Linked DNA regions of Drosophila melanogaster. The protein of the gene in region 2 purifies or fractionates together with the protein of the main gene of each other region. This does not show direct contact. Each region holds a gene or a part of one and is shown on either strand. Other genes may lie near its edges.

The links.
Region 1: the proteins of inv (region 2) and CG12112 purify together in Drosophila melanogaster (affinity purification with mass spectrometry, with the first as the bait; one large-scale study listed by BioGRID). This does not show direct contact.

Annotation. Positions count from the first base shown.
Region 1 is NC_004354.4:8,553,496-8,565,730, forward strand, and holds CG12112 (uncharacterized protein), read right to left. Parts: upstream 6,698-12,235; 5' UTR 6,529-6,697; coding exon 6,426-6,528; intron 6,364-6,425; coding exon 6,158-6,363; intron 6,085-6,157; coding exon 5,931-6,084; intron 5,869-5,930; coding exon 5,726-5,868; 3' UTR 5,384-5,725; downstream 1-5,383. Other genes in the region: IntS4 (integrator 4), read right to left, coding at 2,058-3,023, 3,101-5,203; Trf4-1 (topoisomerase related function 4-1), read left to right, coding at 9,878-10,880, 10,989-11,669, 11,882-12,235.
Region 2 is NT_033778.4:11,469,786-11,483,246, reverse strand, and holds the start of inv (invected), read right to left. Parts: upstream 7,540-13,461; 5' UTR 7,272-7,539; coding exon 5,978-7,271; intron 1-5,977. UniProt on the Drosophila melanogaster protein: Engrailed (en) and invected (inv) are functionally redundant transcription factors in neuronal precursor cell NB5-3 specification.

The DNA.
Region 1 (12,235 bases), on a different chromosome or scaffold from region 2:
CATGAAAAACAACAACAACAAAAACACAATCCCATAACTGACTAGATTTTTGAGACGTTAATTCGAATCGGTTCGGCTTTATTTGCGAATTAGGCAGTATATTAAGTATATACCTTAGGTGGATAAATAAGCTTATGATAATTTGGTCTTTAACGAACATACAGGGTTGCTTAGTCAAATTTTTGCATAGATTTACGGATTACGAAAAACATAATTGCCGGTGTAGGCGTGTAATTGGATGACTCATATTTTGTGCACTGCGTTCTGTTTGTTGTTATTTCAATTAGCTACCTATGTATGTATAATGAACTATAATATCCGGCTTCAGCATAGTTTTCAATCGAATAACCAATACCCAGCCTCCCCAAAAACCGAGCCCACACTAAAAAAAAAATTGGGAGACAACCGAAACGATCCACAAACATAATTCACCTGCACCACGCATATCCCAACGATTGATATAGCAGATATACGATGAGGAAGTAGAGCGGAGGGAAAACTAGGAAACTAGATCGGAAAAAGGACATGCAAGGACAACAAGACAAAAGAACTACATAAAACAATACAAAACAAAACTTGCTATACAAACGTATATATGGATATATGATATATATTTACAGTATAGAGGACAACGATCTAAATCTAATGTTCATGACAAAGCGATATATATATATACATACAAAACATATAGAGAGATGTATAAGATTTTGCATAGATATTGTGATTTCCCAAAAACAAAAAAGAAAAACTCAAAATAGTCAATAACAATGTGGAAACTGAGAAACCAAACGTAAACCAATTAACTAAACTAATATTTCCTCCTTTGTCGTATGAAATAAAAAACTAACTAAAGTGTTCATCAGTGGAATTTTCGAAATAATCGCTCGTCTTCGATGACAGAGCTTAGACTTCGATAGCGATAGAACCACAACAACAAGAACAACAACAACAACTGCACTGCCTGTGTCGGGTTCTATTTTACATTTACATCTACATTTACAGAATCATAAGAATTCACACACTCTAATAAGCGCCAGTCGGAGGAATTCAGAATTGAAAACTCAGAATGCCGAAAGCTAAACAACATCCCAAGCAAACATTTTGAAACTAATAAAGGTAATTTGCACAATACTGTGATTCCTAGCAAGAAACAATGAGACACGATGAACAATTAACGATAAACGCTATTAATTATCGACTTTTGTGTGTTTGTGTGGTTTGGAAATCGATGTGTTTGTATTGTACGTATATTTTTCACAGCATGCTGAAAAATGTTTGCAACAAGAACTATTTATCTAACCACTCAGTAATATCCAACTTGATCAATTTACTTGCATATGATTATTACGATTATTATTGCTAACCAAAGGCCCAAACAATAACTTAAATATAACGCAGAATGAAATCGAAAACAAATGATAAAACAACAAGAATACAAAGTACTTTTTTAAAATGAGTTTTTAGCGAATCAAATATAAACTTAAGATTTAAAAAAAAATTCGTATACAACAAACAAGCATAAATGATAGCAGCGTCTACAAAATCCACAACCAGATCAGAAAAAGCAGGAGAATAATCAAAACGAGAAAATGGAGAAAAGGTTATCCAGAAAAATGATCAGAAAACGTGTAAGCTGTAAAACCTATAATGAGAAATAAACTATAGAAACTATATGAAAAGAACAAGTCTTAGGCATTTCATTCCCCCCCACAGTAAGTATTTTAAATGATGTACGATTTTCTTAAAGATTTATGGTACACACTTTATTTGAAATGAATTCATCTTAAACATATGATTATGATATAAGTAAGCTACGCACAACTGATGCTCTAAACATTCGGTTTTTTCGATTTAGAAAGAACTTTGGCAACCAACTGCTATGGTATCTTAAACAATCACATACATATATTTAAATAACAGTTGCTCGTTGCGCCAATTCCCTGGGCTCTCCTCCTCCCCCTCCTTCTCCTCCTCCTCCAGCGGCTGTGTGGCCTTGTCAGCTTCTCGCTCCGCGTCGCCAGGACAAAAAGCACCTAGTCCATTACCTGGAAGTCAGGCTAAATGCCCCGCCTGACTGGTTTGGGTGCGAACAGCACCTTTGCCGGCTTGCAGAGCTCCAGTTCGCTGCCGGGACGCACGGCCAGGCACAGTTGGATCTCCACCAGCGACGACTCCGTCCAAACGCTGTGCGACAGCAGGATTGTGGTGCGCAGGCGCACATTGGTCTTGTGCTCGCCCTGCTCCGTCATAATGGGCTTGAAGTCACTCTGCTTCGGCACCACGGTGTGCATGTGCTGGTCCGGATACTTGATCTTGATCCGCATGTCCGCCTTCTGGGACTCCAGCAGATTGTCGATTTCCGCAACAAAAGGAACGGCTGCTATCAGGCCAGCCGTGACCTTAATTACATTATCCTGCGATTGCAGCGGACACGGCTCAAGGATGTTGGCCACACAGCGGCGTATTTTGTCATTGGCGGGTGGCAATGCAAGCGGAGGAGCCTGCTGGACCAGCGGCAGAATTTCGCGAAAGACGCGACCCGGCTTGGGATCCGATATGCCATCCAGTTTGATTAGCAGCTGGCGGGTGAAGCTATCCGGCTGGGCATCCCTACTGACCGACTCTTTCATGGGCATATCGGTCTCTACCACCGGTGGCTTCTCCTCCTCATCCTTCGTATTCGCCTTGATGAACTCACTTATATCGCCGGCGGTTTGCAAAAGCATCTGGCACGGGCCCAATGCACTCTGTGAGCGATCCCTGACCACGAGGACCAAGTGAAGCGCGCAAGCCCTCAGGCGCAGCTGCTTCACCTGCAAGATATCGCCGTAATTGAGGCCGGAGAAAGTGTGCTGCAGCTTGAGACAGTTTCGGATGAGTGCTGCCAGTGATTCCTTCAAGGGCACCCTGCTTCGTTGCGTGCTGGCGCAACGCTGCATCTGTTCGATCTGGATCTGGGCCGCCAAGAAGGTCTCTAGAAAGTTTGAGGTGCCGTACATGCCCGCATCAATGGATCCCAGGCGCTAAAGTTTATTAAAAAAAAAACATAGTAAACATTAGTGTTCATTTATATTGTAGTAAGCCCAGCGGGCATACAAACCTGCAGATTAGATTGGGCAGTCTGGAGCAGCTCCAAGCGCTCGTCAGTCATGGTGAAGATCTCTTCGATGTGACTGAGAATCATCTGCAGGTACTCCGCCGAACTGCCCGCTTGGTGCATAGCCGAATCGATCCTGTGCGTCGCACTCGCCGAGGACGCACCCTCAATGGGCAACTGGGGCACCAGATTCGGCATCGAGTCTCTCAGATAGGCGTAATGGCGATGGGTGGCCGTGGGCAGCAAACTGATAATGGGCACCAAATGTTCTGCAGCATTGAAGACAAGTATCAGAACGCACAGATACGCTGGATCCTCGACATCGCGTTCGGGCGTCTCGAAAAAGGGATGCACGTAAAGCAGGTGAACGGCGACAGCCATCACCAAATGTGGATGCTTCTGGCCAATCTTGCGCATGCAGGCATAGGTGGAGTTACGATCCTGTGGATACTTGGCCAGCACATCTAGCAGCTTCTGCACCACCATTAGCAGGCACGTTTGTGTGGACACTCTACAGGCGCCCAGCATGAGATGTAGTCCCTCACGCACGTCCACGGAGTAATCCTCAAGCGATCCAAGCATTATCTCCAGCTGATCCTCGCGCAGCACTATGTGCTTGGCAATGGCCGTTAAACTATAGATGGCCTTCAGCCGCACATCCTCGATCTCATCGTTGAACATGTCCACAAGGAAATCTAGGCTGGTCACCGCGAAATCCGGTCGAGAGAGGGCCAGCTTGCACATGGAGGCCACTGCCGCAGTACGCACCTCGAGGAACTCATCCTCTAGGCCATGTATAAGGGCGCCACAGGCGCCGCTGGCTATAATTGAGATGCTCTGAGCATCGAGGTGCTCTTGCGGCGCATCGTCCGCCCACCGTTTACCCGATGACCACTCACCGCTGGCCACCAGGCGAGCACCTCTCTCGTGCGCCGTTCGCTTCCGGCGCAGATTGCTCATCAGCTTTTTGTCGAGTGTCTGGTGTAGGAACTCCCTGCTTACGGCGGTCATCCCACCGAGCAATTCCGCTGCGAGCACGCGAATTTGCAGCGATAGATCGCACAGGGCTTCGCAGACCTTGCTGAACGCAGCGTCTATCATGCGCAGCTCCTCCTGCTGGCGGTCCGAGGGTAAAATGTAGTCCGGATGCCGATTGCCCAGCATGAAGACCAGCTGTAGAGCTTCCTTGCGCACACACTCGTAGTCATCCTTCATGGCCTCGACGGCACGCTTATAGAGCACCGCCGGCAGTTGGGATCCCCGTTCGCCGAGGGTCAGCAGGGCGTGCAGAGCCTGGGCACGAACGCTCGAGTCCTGCGAGTCGATGTAGAAGGCTAACTTCCATACGTAATGACGCTCACCCTCCATTTTGGTGGCAAAACGACCGATTACCAGCATGGCGTTCTTCTGCGTATGCGCCGAACCGGAGCGCAGCTGCTCCTTGGCTAGGTGGGCCACCTGGGTTTTGTACGATATGGGCAACATGTGCTTCCTGCGCTCCCCGATTCGAAACAGGCACATCATGCCCTGGGCGAGCACCTTTTGGGACACCTCCTTCCTCAACAAGAAGATAAAGTAGTCGATGATCATGGTAAGCGCCTGCTCGGTGGCACACTCGCAACCCAATCCGGACAGCAGCTCGAGCAGCTTCACCCGGATGGAGGTGTCGCTATCGCGTTCCTGCAGCTGATACAGTTGGAAGATCTTGCTGGCCACCTCCTTAAGCTCGCCCATTTCCACGTCCTCATAGGATATCTCATCGGTTATCTTGACCAAGAGCTCCAGCAGTTCCCTGCTATTCGCGGCCGTCATTGGGGGAGCTCCAGTCGCCGCAGCCGGCGGATTTCCGATGACACCTGTTGACGGGGCTCCCGTCGAAGCAACTGGTGTCCCAGTGGGCAGGACCAACGCACCGGCGGGCAGGTTGCCCACATAGGCGTCCAATTGGTTGAGCGCCGTCAGCTTGCGCTCCACATTGCCCACTTTTCCGGATTTCCCGCCCTTGGCATCAGCGGCCAGCGTTTGCAGACGCAGCTTCTTCACCGGCGGCGACCCGTCCACCGTTTCCACGTAGGTGCCTACGCGCTTCTTAATGGCCAGCGCCATGGTTTCCTTTTCCTTTGCGCGATTCAACCAATGCAGACTAGAGTTGCACTCTTCCACCTGGTTTAGGTAAACCGCAAATTAGAGATGGCACACCACTGATGCCAACCACCCGCCACTAGCGATGGCATCGTGACCGCGCAAGAGGTTCTTGCTGGTGGATAACCCATAACTAAATAAATTGCTTTCACAAGAGTGATAATGCTAATATCACCAGGCATTTAATAATTATATTATTTTAAAAAAATGTGTCATTTAGTAATCATATAAAGAAAACGAGGCATATTTTTTGGACATTTCACTTTGAAGGCGTGAAACATCGATAGTATAGTGAAAAATCGATGTTTTCTTTTCGTCTTTTGTTTTGCTCTCGCTCTTCTCCATGAAGTGATAACTTCTCAACAAAGTGATGATGATCCATCAACCACTATTTGGGTATTCATCCTCAATTCGGATTGATTCGCCCGTAAATCATTACTTATATTTAAATCCTTGTTTCTACTATGTCATCTCACATGGGCACAGTTATGATTTCTCCACGCTCAAAACGGACAAGGGGTCATCATCTACCTTGCCCTTCTTTTTGGCTGCGCAATTCTTAACGCATCTCATGGCTTTGAATAAGACTTTTTCCGAGGGTAGCGTCGGTTCCACCTGACCGATGGCGTCTGTAGTTGGGGATAATTATTGAATGGATCACTAAAAGTTGGATGTCGAGCACTAAACTTACTCATAAGCGAACGAAACAGATGTTCGTGATCTTTTAGTCTTTTCTTTTTCTGATTCCCATCAATATTGTAGTTCAGAAGGATGTCCTCGGAGAAAATGAGTCTTATGGTGCGGCTTAATCTTCCCTGGCGCAGGAATTTCCGCATGGAATTCGTCTGATCAGGGATCATATAAGTACAACTATATAATATTCTATTGATGGAAAAGCATGAGGAAGGAGAAACTTACATAGATCCCCCTGGAGTCCTGGCTTATCTTGTGATTCACTTCGACCAGATCCTCCTCATACATAATTGGAAAATCATCGTCCGGATTTCCCTTCGCCTTCGGCTTGGTCGTTTTCATCGACTGCTTAACGAATTCCGTAAGTGTCTTAACCGCCCTCGTCAAGTTTTCGATTTCTGCGCGCTGCGACAGGACTTGGGAATTGAGTTCTAAGTGGGTTAGGTAATGTAATATGATCCGGTGTTATAAGATATGTATGTCACAAACATACCATCTATCTTTGTTAGCAGCATGGCATTGGCTGCGATATGACTATTCTCGGTGGCGAGGCAAAGTCTCTTGATTTCAGGCATTGCTTCGTTAATTTTTAGCATTAAAGTGAATACATATGTATATTTAGTTTATGAATTGAGGAAAGTCCCTAATGGAAGCGATTCGCTTCGCTACACAGTTAAGCTCCAAATGGAATTCCTCGCTGTTTCATCATTGCCTTCGCTAGGCGACGAATGGGAAAGTAAGGGCACGGGCAAAAACTCCCTCTTGCTCATCACATATGAGTAACTGGTGAATCAGTGATGACGACGTCTGATTAGCGGCGGAACTGTACAGTAGTACAGAGAACATGGTGAAAGCCAGAATATCGCATGACAACCAATCGCATAAGCCACAGGATAAATAATACTAATTGTTTATAATAATCACAATGTTTTTAACGAATTTAGTTGGTGATGCGTCCTGTCAGTTGAGTAGGTGGGAATAGCATGGACTTTCCCCAAATAACAAATGCTAAGTTGGGTTTTTTTAAAATTGATTTAATACATTTTTTTTATGTTACAGTTAAATTTGAAACTATATTTAACAAGCAATTTGGATGTCATCGATATTTTGTAATAGGACCATTCACTTAGCGGAGTCATCAACCTTGGCGAATCTAGCGAGCACATCCACCTCTCGCTTATCAGGTCTATCGATAACATCGCTCATCAATCGATTCGTGAACCAGCTCTATCGCGAAACGGTCGCGTGTTCGCACGCAAATTGCAATATAAATCCACAGAAATTGACAGGGAACGTTGCTAAAGGGCGAAAAACAATCGTGCCGCGATTGAGGCCTGCGATCTGCACAGGAAATGCACAATTGCGAAGCGCAATTTGATAAATTCGGTAATGTTCGATTCTCGAAAGAACCAGTCGTGTGCGTCTGTATGTGCTTCAAATGTCACTCTGTGTGCGGGTGTGTGGGGAGTGCATAAAAGGCATAGAGGCAGCAAGGAGTGAAAGAGAGAGCTCCATCGGCAGCGCAACGAAAGTGAGCGAGAAGCAGAAATTGTTAGTGCTTATAAGGATATGTGAGAAGGGAGAGTGAGACAGTAAGAAAGAACGGAAGAAGCAGCAGCGACGCCGACCGACAACAACTGTAATTTTCCATTAATTTTTGGGCGGGTTTTGTGCTGCACAATAATACAACTGGCATAATATAACTTGGCTTATTTTTTATAACCAACATGTGTATTTTGTTCACGTTTTGCTGCGTGTGTAGGTGTGAGTATATGTATGTGTGATAAACTTGAAATACAACGCAATCGCAACGAGAACCAAAACTTGTCAAGGTAAAACGGCTAAAAAAAAAGAAGAAACGAATTGTGTGTGAAAAATTCCAACTGAATTACGCGAGAAATCATGTGAAGAGCAGTTCGATACGCATGTGTGTGCGTGTGATAGAATACGAGGATGAGAGCGGGCGTGCGTTTGGAGTAGTCTGCTTAATTGATTTTCGCTTAATTACTGCAGCGGTTGCATAAATTAAATGTTTACATTTGCCCCGGACAGTGCTGTAAAGAGAGAGAGCCCTTCGAAGCCAGGTGGCAACACCGAGGCCCGTCTATCGATATCCACTGCAATTAATTACTCCGACTAATTTCAGCCTCTGTATGTTTTTTGCCGGTTAAAACAATAAATCGCTCTCTCTTTCTGCCTTTCTTCAATATCACTTCGCCCCGCTCTCTCACTTGCTCTCCTTGGGTCGTTAGCCAACACTGGCGAACATTAAGAAAGTGTTAATTTGCCTAAAATGTACAAGTACATGTGCGCGATGGCCTGCTGTAAATGTGTGTGGGTGTACGGGAGTTTTCCTCTGTCAAATGCAACTAAGTTTTTTTTTACCGAAAATTCAGCCAGCAAATGAAAATCGTATCGGGTAAAATATGCATTAGGTGTAGGTGTGTGCGCATTTAGCGGTTTCTCTGCCCATCTTTCTTCTCCCTTTTTTCTTATTGTATTATATTTTTTTTGCATAATCGAAGCCGCCTTTCGGTACATGTGCATGTGTGCTGTCCCGCTCCCACTCCCACCCCCATACTACGGCCACCTGTACGCCCTTGCACACTCACACACAAACGCACACACCCAACAGAGTCACACGCACGCTGCACAAAACTAGAGTAGCTATCAGTGTATTGGTGCGAGATATAATATCACTTGGGAAGTCATTTATTTGCGGGTCTCGGAGTCTCGTGAGCTGTTTTTCCTTCTGTTTTTTTTTTTCGAATTGCTTGTTGTTTTTATTGCATTTTGATTTGCTTTTCGTATGTGAAAAACCTTTTTGTTGTGGCCCATTTTTGTTTTTTTTTTTTCTAGCGCGTGTGTGTATGTGTGATTTTTCGCGCTCTGAAAAACAATTTTCGACTGGCGCCTTTAAACGCTTCAGCTGCAATTGGTTTGCAAAAAGGAGTGAATAAGAGCGCTCGCTTGAAAGTGGTGGGAGGGAGGGGATGTGTGAGAGAGCGGGGCATTTCTATTTGTAGAAAAAGAGCGCATAATTTGTAATAGTTTGCCATTTACGCTTTCCATTTTGTGTAAAATGCATGCAAACCCCTTTTAAAGAGCAAAAATAACAAGAGCAGCACCAACAACTACTGTTACTATTGTTTCCTTTCCTTCAATCTCAACCCCATTCCTTTGTTTATTTATCTCCCCGAGTTAACCTAAAACCTGTACATCAATAACAGTATTTTGATATCAGTATTTATTTGATTTATCAAATTACTTGAAGTTGACTTAGGATTATTATAAACAATGAGTCCCAAACTGGTTAAAGCCTCGAAATACAACTGCTGTAGATTATATCGAAATGTATATGGTTGTACTTAGTGAACAAATGGAGGGTATTTGTTCTTCCAGAACTTTCCTAATATAAGCCAATCTCTCTCTCTTCGCAAAACTGCGAACATTGGCATATTTATTGAGTGATAAGTTAATAATATTAATCAAATTAGGTGTTCTGCCTTGTTTCACATTAATTGTTAACAAATAAGATTGACAAGTCTACCTACTATACCAGAATATACCGAAATTAAAATGGCAATGACTTTAGTGTAATATTGTGATCATAACTGAGAATTCTATTGTTTTGAACCGTTAAACGTATGTAGAGGTAGTAGAATAGGATACGCATAACTCCTACTCCGGTAACTAATTAACATTTTTCGTGACACTCTTTACAGCACTTGAATGCTGACAGCATTCAAAGAGGTTTAGTCCCGGCAGCGACTTTAATTAATTTTTCCCTGTGGAGCACAAAGATCACATCGGATCTATATAGAGTCACGTCTATATATTCAGACCACCAGGACGCAGAGGATAGAGGTGAAAGGACGAAGCGAAGGAGAGACGCGCGCCCCCCTCGTTTCCCGCCCAGCCAACAGCCGTGTGAACCCGTCTTGAATGGATCCATTTGTTGGCTGGTTTCAGAAGGAACAGGAGGGACCATCGCTGTGCACATGGTTAAAGATTTGGGAGACGAATGCCCAAGAGATGGGCGCATTGCTTAATCAACAGCTACAGCAGGCGACGACGATCAACGGGAGCACGAGCAGCAGCAGCAGCAGCAGCAATAGTGGTAACAACAACAACAACAACAACAATAACATCATCAATAACACTATCACCAACACGACCAATAACACTGGTAACAATTCATCGGCCAAACCCTACTTATCGCGACCCTACAGCTCGCTAAATCGGGTGCTCAATTTCCGAGCGGATTCCCTGGAGATCCTGCAGCAGCAACAACAACAGCAGCAGCTCAACGGGACCACTCAGCGCAACAGCACCAACATCAATACCACAAGCGGCGGCAGCACTAGCTCGTCGGCAGATTCCACCACGAATCGGGACAATAACTCACCCGCCAATAGCAGTTCAACCAACGGACCCGGAGCAGGAACGGGAACGTCAACAGGAGCAGGAGGTACCGGTACAAATAGTCCGGCGACGACAGCGTCAAGCACAGCTGCGACCACGACTGGTCCAGCCACTAGTATGAGCGACACCAGCAACAACCCGCCACAATCAACGACCACGCCCGCCAGCCGCACGAACAGCATCTACTACAATCCATCGCGGAAGAAACGACCGGAGAACAAGGCTGGCGGAGCCCACTACTATATGAACAACCATATGGAGATGATCGCCAAGTACAAGGGCGAACCGTGGCGCAAGCCGGACTATCCGTATGGCGAGGGCGTTATCGGGCTGCACGAGGAGATCGAGCATTTCTATCAGTACGTCCTGCCCACGCCCTGCGAACACGCCATCCGCAACGAGGTGGTCAAGCGTATCGAGGCCGTTGTCCATTCCATCTGGCCACAGGCAGTAGTCGAGATCTTTGGCTCCTTTCGCACTGGCCTCTTTTTGCCCACCTCCGACATAGATCTCGTTGTGTTAGGTGAGTGAAGGGACGGTACTAGCTTTTTAAGTGGCCCCCACATGCATTGACTTTTTATTTATGCATTGGCTTTATTATCTTATCCTAATCTCTTCAATTTACTTTCAGGTTTGTGGGAGAAGCTGCCGCTGAGAACGCTGGAGTTCGAGCTAGTGAGCCGTGGTATCGCCGAGGCTTGTACGGTGCGTGTTCTGGACAAGGCATCAGTGCCCATCATCAAGCTGACGGACCGGGAAACGCAAGTGAAGGTAGACATATCGTTCAACATGCAGAGTGGTGTTCAGTCGGCGGAGCTGATTAAGAAGTTTAAGCGCGACTATCCAGTGCTGGAGAAGCTAGTGCTTGTGCTGAAGCAGTTCTTACTACTTCGCGATCTCAACGAGGTGTTCACGGGCGGCATCTCCTCCTACTCGCTGATCCTTATGTGCATCAGCTTCCTGCAGATGCATCCGCGCGGTATCTACCACGATACAGCCAATCTGGGGGTGCTTCTCCTCGAGTTCTTCGAACTTTATGGACGTCGCTTCAACTACATGAAGATCGGCATCTCCATAAAGAACGGTGGCCGCTACATGCCCAAGGATGAGCTGCAGCGTGACATGGTCGATGGCCATCGACCCTCGCTCCTGTGCATCGAGGATCCGCTGACGCCAGGCAATGATATCGGTCGAAGCAGCTACGGCGTCTTCCAGGTGCAACAGGCATTCAAGTGCGCCTACCGCGTGCTCGCCCTTGCCGTCAGTCCGCTCAACCTTCTCGGCATCGATCCGCGCGTCAACTCGATACTGGGTAAGTGATAGTCACGCTCTATTAGTTAATTAAACGAAAAAATACAAATATTTTAATGCAATCCAACAGTTCACAGTACAAAATTGCACATAGCTAAGCAATGTTTACTGCTGGACACGTTGATAACAACAATTTTGTTATATGCGCGTATATACACTAGTTTCGTGGAATCGATGTGGATTTGTAATGGTCTCCTTTGTTCGCTAATGCAGGTCGAATCATTCACATCACCGACGACGTGATCGATTATCGCGAATGGATCCGCGAGAACTTCGAACATCTGGTGGTGGTGGATCGTATCTCGCCGCTGCCCACTGCCGCTCCCACTGCGTACGCCACCGCCAATGGGGCGCCAAAATATGTGATTATGCCCTCGGGCGCCGTTGTCCAGCAGCTGTACCATCATCCGGTGCAGGTGCCCACCGCTCACGGGCACAGCCATGCGCACAGCCACAGTCACGGGCACGCGCATCCTGGCGCCCATCTGTGCCAGCCGTATGTGACCGGGACCACTGTATCTGCTGTAACGACGACTACAACGATGGCGGTGGTGACCGTGGGCGTGT
Region 2 (13,461 bases):
ATTATTTGTTTGTTTGCTTTGGCTGATGCATATTTGGTTGCTAGTGATTGACTGATTGACTGCCTGCCCGAATGCCAAAAGGGAGACCCTGCCCCATTGCGGAACCTCCCACGTATCTCGAAATATTATTTGCCTGATGAATGAAGTCATTTGCTTGTAGAAAATATTTTGACAGCTGTAAATATCTCCACACCCCACGACGCGCTGTTGCCTCGTTTTCAAATTAACACAAATGAAGTTATAAAAATGATTTTTATATGCCATGCCCAAGTTATACAATATGAAATCCCAAGCCCAAATGCGGAAACTTGTCTTTCATTTCATTTCAATTCAACATTTTTGTTAGGTTTCGCCTTTGGTTTTTTTTTTTTTTGTTTTTCGTTTCGGCTTTTGGCTTTTCGGCCAGCTTGGGTGGTCTTTTGGGCCTAAGCCCGTCGTTGGGTCTTGATTGTTGTGATCTTGAGGTTTGTGTTACATACGAAATTGAAATTTCTGAATTTTTAATATTTCTCTTTTGTCTTTTCGTTGCTTTACGACGGAGCTCAAGTCAAATGATAGATAAGCAGGCCGCAGTCTATTGAGTGTGAAATTGGGCGAAACTGAGAAGGTTGGGGTAAGTTGGATAACAGAGATTTAACACCCTAACTGTCAGGTGATTATAACTGTTCCTAGCTTGAGTTGTAAAATTAAGTTAAATTTAATTAATTTAATATCCAGCTGATTATAGATCTTATTTAAATAAAGGGACTGCGCCAAGAAAGTAATCTGCTAATTGAAAACGCACTGTGATGATTCGAGATTAATGATCAAAAGACATACTACAACATCAAAATACTCACTTGGCTTAGCAGAAGAATAGCAATAAATGCAATACAATAAAACTTAACAACTTTTTCATTTAGCGTTATATATCAATTTGAATCCTAAATGCCTCTAGCCGAATCATTTACCCTGTCTAATATACCCAGCTTTTTCGCTCTAGGTCAGGGTATATGAAAACAATTACAAAATGCCTGGCCGATGCCCAATTTGAGGCCATATTAACTGTTGAGCGGAAAATGCAACTGTCCGCAGCAGCAGCAGTTTCAGTTCACATTAACCAAATGCGGTCAGCAGTCCAGTCACAGTTTAAACGACATTTTTCGCTGCTGCCGCTGTTATCGTGCCGCAGTTTTAAAAAAAATATATATATGTATGTATTTGTACATATATATGGGGAGGGGGCAAGGGGCATGGGGCGATTGGGGCTGCGGGTCTGACAGTTTTATTACCAAGGCGCATGGCTGCTTTTTCCAGTTGCGGCAGTTGCAGTTGCCAAAGCCTTAAAAGGCGCTACTAGTTGTTGTTGTTGTAGTTGCTGTTACAGTTGTTGCCGCAGTTCGTTTTTGTTATTGTTATCTTGTTGTTGTTGTGTGTTGCTTGTTGGTTGTGCGATAAGTTAACAGTTGAAATTAATTTTTGTCACTTCATAAATCGCCGCAGTTGATTGCCATTGCCTTTTCTACCTAACACCCATCCTACACGGCAGGAAAATGCGTCTTCAAACAAAAGTGCGTAAGCTAAGTACACAGTTTGATTATTAAGCCAAACTTCTTAATAAACGATTATAAAATAAGTTAAGGAGTATAAGACAATACCATTTCCTAGGTAGTTAACATTTTTGACACATTTCATATGGTTGTTTCTTGTACCCATCCCTAGTACCATCTATGGTATGAACTTTGAATTCGTAATAAGATGTCTGAGCTGATCCTATCCTTTAACCAACTTTAGTTCTCTTCAAGGTGTAGTTCATTCTAGAGTTCGGATTGCTTTTGACCCACATAAGCCTCTCTTCTCGGAGCACCAAAAAGTGATTGAGTGAGCGTTTAAAGTGCGCTCGTTTAATAGTTTTCACCTATCTAACCACTCACTATCCACGAATAGAGCTTTCTTAAAGTGTTTGCCAGGAAAGCGGCTAACACATAGGCCGGTAAGTATTTTCCTCAATGGCTCAATTTGGCGGCCAAAGGGAGTGGGAAAAGCGGACCCGAGTTCTCCTCGAGGCTCTGGATATCGTGATTATCATATGACGTGACAGCCTCGCATATTTATGAATGCATTTGGGTCATAAACAACGGTGTTCTTGGTGCTGTTGTTGCGTTTCCAACGCAAATTGCGCACTTCAGACGTAAAATCGTTTTGGCTAAGAAACTTTACGTGCTCCTATCATTGATTGAGTTCTTTGATGGTTGCCAATAATAATTTCAGTCCATAATTCGGTATCAAATTGGCCCAATTGCATAATTTCAAAAATATAGGGTTGGGAGTGCAGGTTTATGGATGGAAATAACATCACTAAATTAAGTTTTAATTGAACGTGTACAGTTTGTCTTCAATAAATTTCTATGCATTAAATTAAAATAGAAACAGGGCTGAAAATTACGTTATTTAATCTAAACTAACTAACTCGTTTTGATAAAAAAAAAATAAAAGAGGTACTGCCACTTACTAAAGTGTCAGAAAAACACTCATACCATTTCGCTGATAAAAAAAAACGAATTGGACCTGCTCCTTCCAACCCCTTCACCACCTTTTGTTTAGAGCAATTTCCTAAGTAAATTTCCCATTTAGAACATGCAAAGGCAGCGCAGCCAAAGAAACTTTTCCAGCAATTTTCCAACGGCAAGAGCACGGAGATGAGAAAATCGGAGGCTTTTCTGAAAACGAGGGGGGTAATTGCAGGACGGTGTAATTGAAATTCGTTTGTTTATGTTGTCATTGTTGTTGTTTCTGTTTCTCTGGCTGCTCGGAAAGCGTCTTCTGCGCAAATTGAAAATTACTTAATGGTTCAGTGGCGATCGCTGTCGCTCCCGTTTTCCCGCTGGCCCCTTTCCCGCTTAATTTTCCCGCTTGTCGCTGTCTCGGCTACTGGTTAAATGAGCTCAAAGTACCGGACAAATGCGAAAATTGCCTACCAACGGCAGGCAAAGGTCAGGATGGGGGTTCTTGGAAGGAAGAGGTGAGTATCTGGTCCCAACCAAGTCATTCCATGCAGAAATGTCTATTTTGTAGAAGGGAACCGAAGAGTCAAGTAAAAGCTGGGTCAGTAAAAACAGTTGTGGGCGGAGCTGGGTACACAAATGTGTAATGAATAGGCAAACATATGACTGATCATTCACATTTTTTCCCACTATTTTGTAACTCACTTTTAAGGGAGATACAGAAATAAACTTTTTATCTGAAATAAGGCTATGTATCCAGTAATTAAATATAGTGGGTTTGCCATTTTTTAGCTAGGTTTTAATGATACTCCTCAATAAGTTATTACGTTTTTGCCAAAGGGAGGCACAAAAAAGTGCCCACTGTGTATAAGTTAATTATGGCCTATTCTACAAATGCGGTTTATGTTTAAGTCGAAGCAAAAAACATACCACATCTTTTTATCAGTGGATTGAGTACACATTTATTTATCCTTTAGATCTAACATAATTAATTGCTACATCAAAGCAGTAAATAGAGCCACTCCCACTCAGGCTCATGCTCCAATAAAAATCATAAAATATGGCCTGGCAATTATTGAGATTGAACGCAATCTTGTATCGATTATCAAATGCTTTTTGTGGTTTTAATACAATGCCATTAATCTGCATCGAAAATGGCGCACAAATAGACGGCACATATGCAGTCCGACAGCTTCCCATATGTTAGCCATATATCATGTGGCCCACAAATGGCCGTTAAGTGCAATTAACTAATTTGTTGTCGAATGTACGTTTTTGGCAACTGTTTTAATCGCCTACGCGCACACGGAATATGTTGCATTAATTTGTCAAATTAACACCTTTGTTGTGGATTATAAAAACTTTGAATATTTTTTCCCGACAACGGCAGCAGTAATTTTTCAAAAGCAACAAATTTATGACTTTTATTCGAGCTGGCATTTTAATTCGCCGATTTTGTAGCTGACTGGCTCAAATCTCACGCTAAATCATTGTTTGCCATAGCAGCTGCAGTCACAAGCCAACTCCGTACATATAGCCCATATAGCGCATATAGCCACTCCGAAAATGATTCCGAATCGGAGGACCAGCGACGCCATCGCCTACAACATTCATTCAAATTATGGAACCGCACTGAGATCGAGATCTCGTTTTAGTCACGCTAAATTTATACAAAAAGCGCTTGGAAAAAAACCTAAAAATGAAACTGAGAAAATGAAAAAGCCACCACAACAATAAACACACCTTAAAACCTCGGAGCGAGTGAGACGGGCGACTGCAGAGCGAAAGAGACGGCCTGTGTGGAGGGGAGCAACCAAAATCGTTTCGAGTTAATTAGCGAGCGCGACAAAACCCACCCAAAAGCGTAGATTTATGCACTCGGTATTCGTTTTTTTTTTTTTTTTGGGGATTCAGTAACGAGACTCCCCCAAAACTCTCTAAATAAATATGAGTTTGACATCCATCAGCGTAATGAGTAAATTGCCAAGGAATTATTCGGATCCGAGTTTATTTGGGCCAAGCTTCTAAGTTGTGTAATTGGGAATCAGGTAGTTAGAAGGGACGACTTTTGATGGATGAATTACAATTATTTACTGATATTTCAACGTTACTTTCTTCAAGCTGGTGTATTAAGATCTATAAAACGTGTGGATAATTGGCTAAAAACTGTCGTAAGTGCTTAAACAGCTGAGCTCGGCAATCTTACAAATTGCATTCAATGATACTTAATAAAGCAATTAAATTTAACTAGTTAAAGATAAAGTAACTCTCGTAATTATATGCCCATTTAAGGCTGATATTGTAATTGAATAATGCTATTGTCAACTACTCTGTTGAACACCAAAGTTTAGTAAGGTCTTAAACGTTTTAATATTGTGTTATAATATCAAGTATCTGTGATAAAATGCATTCAGTCTATTGAGTAAACCTTTGGCAATTCATTACCGATAATAAACTAGCTGAGCAAGCTAATAAAGGTAAACACCTTAACCAAATGACTGCCATCAAGTGGCTTAAATCACTCTCCATTCGCCACTTGAACCACATGATCCATGGACTTACCCGAGATTCCAGGGGATTAGCCAAAAACTATCAAGGAATCCGAATTGCTTGTTCAAACAGCAATAAGCCACCCCATAAATGAGCATATGGGGCACTCCCACCCATCCGATTCCCCCCCAAATTTCAGCCATGAAATTATTAGGCAAACGATTACGAATTCCCTGCGGTGGCATAAACTAAATTCATGAGAGTGCCATGATTGCTGGGAGATTGTTTTGGGGTTGTTCTCGACGGGTTGGGGTGGTGCTGCACACACAAAAACACACACGGGGTGGGTGGGGTGTAGCGGCATAATGAGCTTAAGTTATGTTACATAAGCCATAAGGACATGAAAACCACTCGAGCAGACACTTCACTTCGGGGTGAGTGTTCGCCTCCCTTTCGCTCGCACTCACTTCATTTCGGTGGTTGGCAAACTAATGAGCTGTGGGTTGCTGTGGTTTGGCTCCGTTCGCCGGCTCTTCTGTGGTGTCTGTCGCTTGTTTGCACAACCGCTTTATGAGCCACCACTCAACAGCTCGTCTCCTCGAGTGTGTTTGAGTTTGGAGAAAGAGTGAGTGACTAGCAGTGCACTGCTTTAGCATAAGATGTAAGATGCTTTAGAAAATGCAGGAAATATCCATAGAAACATATGCAAGTAAATAAATTTTGCCAGGATCTACTACAGAATATCTATAATAATACTGGCATGGTGCTGGAGAATCGTATGTTAACGAGAAAACTTGAAACCAAAGGCTTTTCTTTCAAGCTTATGAAGATTAGTATTCAAAACACCAAAACGTAATTTCATAAACTATATTTGCATTCACAAAGTTCATAAAAAGTACGTTAAACGTAGAAATATACAATATTATTTCATCAATATTTGTACTTATGTTTCGCTAGACAACTTAGATAACTGAAGCAAAATTTTTAAAGAGACTTGGACTCACCTGAGCTGGGACGATCGCTGTAGCGGGTGCAGTAGACCCACGCTGGCCAAACGATGGGAGTGCCGGAATCCTCGCCCGATTTACCGGATGCTCCTGTGGCACCCGCTCCTGCCGCTGGCGGTGGCGACTTGACCAGATCCACTGGTGCCCCCGAGGTGTTCGTCGTGCTGCTGCTGGTGGCGGTGCTATTGGAATCGTTGCTGTTGCTGCATATATTCGCCAGCGAGCTGGAGAAGCTCAAGCTCGAGTTGGCGGCGGCGTTACTTTGAGCCAGATTCAGTGGCTTTCCCGACTTCTTGGGCGCCTTTAGGGGAGATCTGTTGCCATTGGTATTTCCAGAATTTTTACTGCTGCCAGTACTGCTCCCACTTACACTGCCACCACCGATATTGCCACTTAAAGCACCAATCTTGGGCAATCTGGAACCAAAGTCCGCCTTCAGGATATTGTCTATGCTGAATTTGAGCGCCCTTTCGTGCAGATTTTCATTGTTATTCAGGTGATTCTGCATGTGATGATGGTGGTGGACCTGATCCCTTTGCAGTAGCAATTGCTGATGGGGATGCACCGCTCCACCGGGTCCCAGACCCAATGCCGTGGCCGTCAGCTGAGCCAGTGCATCCTGACCGCTGGGCACTGTGGCAACCGCCGCCGCCGCCATTGCCATTTGCAGCTGTTTTCCCGCCGCCGCTGCCGTGAGAGCGTTCACCCTGGCGGCGGCCATTAGATGCATCTGCTGTTTCATCAGCTCCTCGGCGTACAGCTGGGACTTTCGCAGGAACTCCTCCTGGAAGGTTCCAGTGGAGGGAGGCAGTTGCAGGAGATCTTCGGGTGAGAAGGGCGGACCTTCGCTGGGCGGCAAAACAGTGGTAGCAGTGCTGCTGAATGCCGACGGTCGATAGATTTGGCTGATCAAAAGCCTCTGCCTGGCCTGAGCTTGAGCGGATAGCGCAGCCTGTGCTGCTTCCGATTGTTCCTGGCCCACACTCAAGACACTATTCTCACTGCAGCAGCTGGCCGGATCCTCCAGGTCCAAATCGTGCTCCTCCTCGACCTCTTCATCCTCTATGTTCAGCTGCTCCTCGCACTCCGTCTGCTCGTCCTCCTCCTCCTCCCGCACTTGGGGCGAGTTGCCCGGCTGGACAAGCGGCAAGGGCAAGCAATCCGGATGCATTTTACCTACTTCCTGGCCACCTCCGCCCGCTCTCCTCTCCTGCGCGTGGTCCTCTGCCTCCTCTAAGGAAGGAATAGTCAGCTTGAGCGGGGGCGGTCGAGTGCTGGCCAAGGTGGACATCAGTTTGAGGGCTTAGGTCTTCAGCTCGAAAGTTCACAGGGACCAAAAGCCGACGGCATTTCAGGGCAGCCAGAAAGCATTAAAAACATTAACCACAGCCAAAAGATATCACTTGGATTGGCAAATACGCCGCGCTATCGTCTTCGATTGACAATTGGTTTTTGGGTTGGGTGATAAACTTGTCGATACCGACGTTAATCCGCTCGTCCGTTAAAAACGTAACGTGCGCTGTTACGAACCGCCGACCAACTGATTCTCTCGCGAACTGAATAGCAAAGCGAGACGGCTGCAGCTGAGAGCCGATTCAAAAAGAGAACTCTCTCTCGCACACGCTCTCTCTCACTCTCCGTCCTGCTCTGGCTTTTCGAACATCCAATCAGCGGCTGCGGGGCGTGCCCTACTGTTGTCCCGCTCGCGCACACGGTCAGCCGCCTGTCAGTTGAGGTTATGTTAAGTGTTTGTATATTTGTTAATTAAGTGCGTCGTCGCCGCAAAAAGAAAAAAGCGAAAAAGAAGGAAAATAGGGATAAGAACTCCACTCCATTTCCATCTGCGCCTTGTCGTTTTGATTATGCGCTGCAGCATTTAAGTCGTAAATCTCACTCTATGTAGGCTGCTCTCGCCCTCCTCCTCCATCATCATCACTTCACTCCCCCTTTCTTTCGCTCCTCTTTGCGGTCTGGCATCTGCAGTCCTTTTTTGCTGGCATCCTATCCGCCGTCCAGCATTATATACCCACACACACATATGGAGTGTGTGCCTGTTTATATACAACACATGCCACAGCTTCCCCGTCTCCTTCACTCCTTCGCTTCCTTTTACTTATTGTTCTTGTTGCTCCGATACAACGAACATTTTTGCGCTTTTTGATGTCATTGTTGTTGTTAGCTGCGCTTTATAAATCACCACCACAATTTTTGTTGCCCCAACATCTGCCGTGATTTCATAATTGCTTTTGATGCTTTTTTGTCGCCGTTTTATTGTTTGTTGTCGTTTTGCCTTCACACATCCCATCGGACAACATTGATGATAGTTCTGCGTAAATGAATACCAATACGTGTGCAATTGCATACGCTTAATCATGGGCGTAGATTCAAAAGCACTGGGGGGATAATGATCAGCTTGCTGGGTTTCTACTGAACACCTTGTCCGGCATTTAAAGACCTCTTAGTAATGCCAAAATAATTGTAATTTAAATTTGGTCCCACAAGCTAATCAATCTGATATCAATAAAAAAATCAAACTTTGATATTCATGATTACTTACATAAGACATTATTTTTAGAATTTAAGTCACTTCGTTCATGTACTATGGAAATTATCCTCCATTCCTGACCAATTTAAGTAGCCCCTTCTCCCGCCAATGAAAATTTGACATACGTTTGCTTGGGCTTGTCTAATTGGCGAACATACTGCATTGTTGCTGTGCTTTGTGCTCATAAATCTGTATTTAGCTTTCCTTTCAAGTATTTGAGACATTTTTGTGTGTGTCATGTGTGGGGTGAAAACGAGTTTGCCTTGTTTGAAGTGAGGTTGTGCAGGGCATGCCGATCACTCTTTTAATTAAATCAGAAAACTTTGTTGTAGTCCACGAAAAGATTTCTAGGAATGGCTGCATTCATTTGCATCATTTGCTGCGGACCTCTTTAGTGACACAGCCGAAATCGGTTAATGTATCATATTTCATATCTGAAATCGACTATCAAAGTTGCACCTTTTCTCCGTTATCGCCGACAGATTGGACATAAAATATCGGAATTCCAGCGATCTTTTTATCGCTGCTGTTGAACCCATAAAGCCCGAATCATGGAGTTTTTCGGGCTGTCCGCGCTTTATTATCGCTTCGAATCGTATTGGTGGAACCACGCCCCGAAATGCAAAGCAATCCAAGCCAGTTTAATAACTTTGTTGCACCATTACAAAGAAGCCAATGCCAGATGCCGACACTGCGATAGTATAAGCACCGACAAACGAATTAATCAGGCTTAATTTCCAGCCCTCGACAAAAGAAACAATTATACGCAGTATGATTAGGAAAAGGAATGGAGTACAAGAAAATAGTTTCATACAGTCGAGCTTCTGTCACTTAACCCTTACCATTTATTTGCCTAAAGACCCGAACATTACCTAATACAGTATAATTCGCTTAGCTGCCTCGAGTACTTTGCACAATGCCTCGATGCAGGTAACTTAAAAATGCAGCTAACTTAATTTTTTTTTTTTAAGGAAAAATAAAGAATTTATTTCTTTATAACAATGTTAAACATAAAAGGAACTGATAATTTCATTCTTAATGATAAGTAAGATCGACATATAAATTTAAGTGATGGTGAATTGATTAAAACACTTTTTAAAACTAACTTAAAAATAGTCAGTAATTTTTTTTTTGCAATACAGCTGAGTTTATATGTAAATTAAACAGCTTGTCTTCCATAGAATTCAAGTTTTGCAAAAACTCATCATTATTGTTTCGCATAAAAATGGACTTTAAAGCCTTAATTGCTGCAAACCCATCCTTAAAAGTAGGACGCTCAGTATCGTCCACATCTTCATCACTATGGCTTTCTTCGTTATCGCTGGTTTTTGCATCTTGAACTAAAGAGCGCACGATTTCATCATCATCTAATTGACCATGGCAAGCCTCATCTGCATCAACATTGGCATATTCATTCCAATTAATATTCGATACAATGTCAACTTCTACGCATTGTTTGTCTAAGTCGTGCGCTCCTTTTCTTTGACGCTTTCTTTTTAAACCTGACGCGGCCACAGCTTCATGAATTTCATTTGTTTTTTGTAAAATGCGGTTGACTGTGGATCTGTCGCATTTGAACTTGGCACAAATTTCCTTTTTGTCCACTTTGTTGGTCACTAACTCGATTATTTGAAGCTTTTCCTTTAGTGTTAGTCCAACGACACGCTTTGTTTTACCCATTTTAATAACTTTGTGTCATAAGAAACAAAAACACAAAAATCACGATCAAAGCAAAAACAAAAACGGACATGCGCAGATACTGAAACGAGTTGGCATTCTTGCCATCTTTTAGATATGCAAAAATGATTCATAGATGGCGCAGCTAACTTTGATGATATTCATTGAAATTGGCAAAAAAAACAGCTGATATGATGCACTTAAGTTAAAAAGGCTGTTATCTGCGATGCAGCAAACGTATGAATTTTCGTACAAATTTTCTATTCACACAAAAAAATGGAAAAATAATGCAGATATCTTGCCGATGCAGCTAACTATCGATGCAGCTAAGCGAATTATACTGTACTGATCATTACCACTGTTTGCGTGACTTACCGCTATCGTAGCTCCAAATTTTAATGTGCTAAATGGCTGTTTGAGTTACAGAAGTTTGACTGTGGTAACCCAAGACCACGAATTATGAATAAAATTAAGCGCAATTGCTCAAAATGTCTGAAAAGCCAACTGATTTCACCCGTTCGCTCCCCTTCACCCCAGCCATTACCTGCAGATTCCATCCGAAGAGGAGACATGATTAAAGCCGCGCACGAAACGCTTTTCACATAAAAGACGCCGCGGAGCGTAAGGCGATCTCGCTAGTTAATCGCGCAGAAAATCTTCATCAGAAATGGACGGAAACCGAAGGCAAGCAAGAGCAACAAAAAGCTTCGCAGTAAAGTTACTCAAACTAAAATAAATACAATCAAAACATGAAGCCTACAACGCAAGCAATAAGTAACAACGACAACACAACGACAACGACAAAAGAGCAAAGCGCGCCGGCAAAACATTACAAGACTGCCCCTCTATCTGCCTCTCTTTCCCGCCGCAGCATCAGCTCCGCCGCCAACAGCAACAACAAATAGCATAATCGCGTCGAGTGAGCCGGCTAACTCCTCCACCGGCCGCCCCTAACAGCTCCCCACTGGGCGCACAATTTAGATGCGCGGCAATAGATAAACTTAAAGAGGCTTTTATTTAAACAAAGCGCAGCAGCATCGCAAGAAACGGCAATGAAGCTGCTCACTGAGGCAGACAGAGAGTGAGATTTGGGCTCCTGGTGGAGCGGATCTACCAAAACGGAGGTTGGGGCGACAAAAAGCTTCAATTTAAACGGTGCATCCTCAACATTTTGAATTAAGAAATGGAAATAAAATAAAAAAGCGAAAAATGTTACTGTGACATCGTACGATGCGATAAATGTCCATATTTCCATATTTTTTCACAAGTCGATAGTTATCAGGAATATGTATATGACTGGGAGTCATCTATTTTACGTTTATTATGTGCGATTTTTAGTCTTTAACTTGAATAATTGACATCCCTGTTCGGGCGCCACCTACACATACCAATAAGCTTTATAAATTTTTTTTTTTTGTTATAATTACATTGAGAGAAACCTTCTTTTTATTTATTTTTTGTGGATTTTACAACGAAAAGACTATTGAATTATTAAAAAAAATGAGCTTTCAATGCAACTAATGAGCGCAGCTTTGCAGGATTCCTAAACTACAAAACATATAATTGTTCATGTTATATGCGAAATGACTTTCCCAGTTTAAGGCAGTAGTATTACGACAAGATTTCCCTCGTCGTCCTCGAATTCGGCCCTGTCCCAGCTAGCAGTAGCTAAGTGAGCCGCGCTGGGGAGTAAGAATGGGGACCCAGAGTTGAAGCCTGATCTCTAAGGCCCTGCTGCTGCTGTCGGGCGAAGCGCAAAAATGTATGTAGCTTACAAACGAGCAACATCAGAACAGAAACAGAAACTGAAACAGAACGGAGCGCGGATTGGTGCTCTCTTTCTGGCCCGCCAACAGGATCGATGGCCCTCGTTAGGTTCGCGGCTCTTTTTGTCAATCTCATAGGATCGTGGTGCTGTCCCACTAGCTATTTAAACGACAGATGTGGCTCGCTGCAAATGATCAGTGTAGATGTGGCTATTCCTGCTACCAAAATGTAGCAACTGTCGTTGTGATTTTGCCGCTTTTTGTCTCTGTTTGCGTTCGTAGAGCTGCTGCTATTCGAGCTGATCTTTTAATCGAATCGTAGCATTTATTATGTTGCGGCTGGGGATTGGATGTGGATTGGAGACTGTAATTGTTGTGATTTTGTGGCCAGTTTGTCTAATGTCGTTTAGCAAACAATGGACATGGCTGTGTCATAAGTTAACAAACAAAAAAACAAGCCGAGCAACAAATAGCTGGCATTGATTGCGAAAATTCATAATTCGTCTTTCCGTTTGTGCAATTTTGTGCTTTGACGTGCGTTGTGATTCGATTCGATTTGATTTTGTTTTGATTGCATTCAATTTCTTGTCTCAATTGAAATTTGCATAATTTATTCGTTTGAGAGCGTGTAGCTCTAATTGCAATTAACACGTGACGACGGCAGTAATCATCATCACCACCTCCATCATCATCACCGTCGACAGTCAAACTCCCATTCCATTATCCCATTTCTCGATTCCCAACTCTGTTCCACTTGTCGACAGTTTGAAGAGAAAAATCAATAACAGGCATGTGGAAATTGTATTTAATTGACAGTTAAATGGTTTTCAACTCGCCATGGAAATCGATTGGGCTTGGCCCGCAGATGCCATTGGGGTTGTTGGAGCTCAAGGGAAGGGGGTTTTCCGAGGGGTGGTGCGTAACAGCCAATTAGCAGTGGAAAAGTTTTCGAGGAAAATTAATAAGTAGGAAAAATACTGTACATGTCAGAGGGAGGCAACTGATTTGTCAGCCCAAAGCGAAGAGGTGGTTTTTCAAAAAACAGGGCGGAATATTTAAAGCAATTTAATCTGAAAACGATTAATTACTGGGTTGGAATTAAAGTGCCAAATAAATATGATTGCTATGAATGAATAAAATAAATATATTTTTAAGTTAAAAAAAACTTCTACAAGTTCCGTCCCTGCTATACATCATTTTTGCAATCAGACATTGTATAACTTTTGAACCTTTTATGCTTTAGTATTCTTATAAGCGTTATTAAGGATTCGCATGTCTTGCGGTTCGCTTTAGAGTATAACCCTTTCTTAAACTCTTACCTACTTCGCTTCCATTACAATTCCCCAAGGCAAATAAATAAAACGCGACATTTGAGCCCAACTGACAATCACCTAATTACATGCACAAACACCGCCGCACACACTCTAATTGAAGTGCGAGGAGTGCGGCGACACAAGGAGCGAGACGGCCGATGGCAGGGGGAAGTGGGGTAA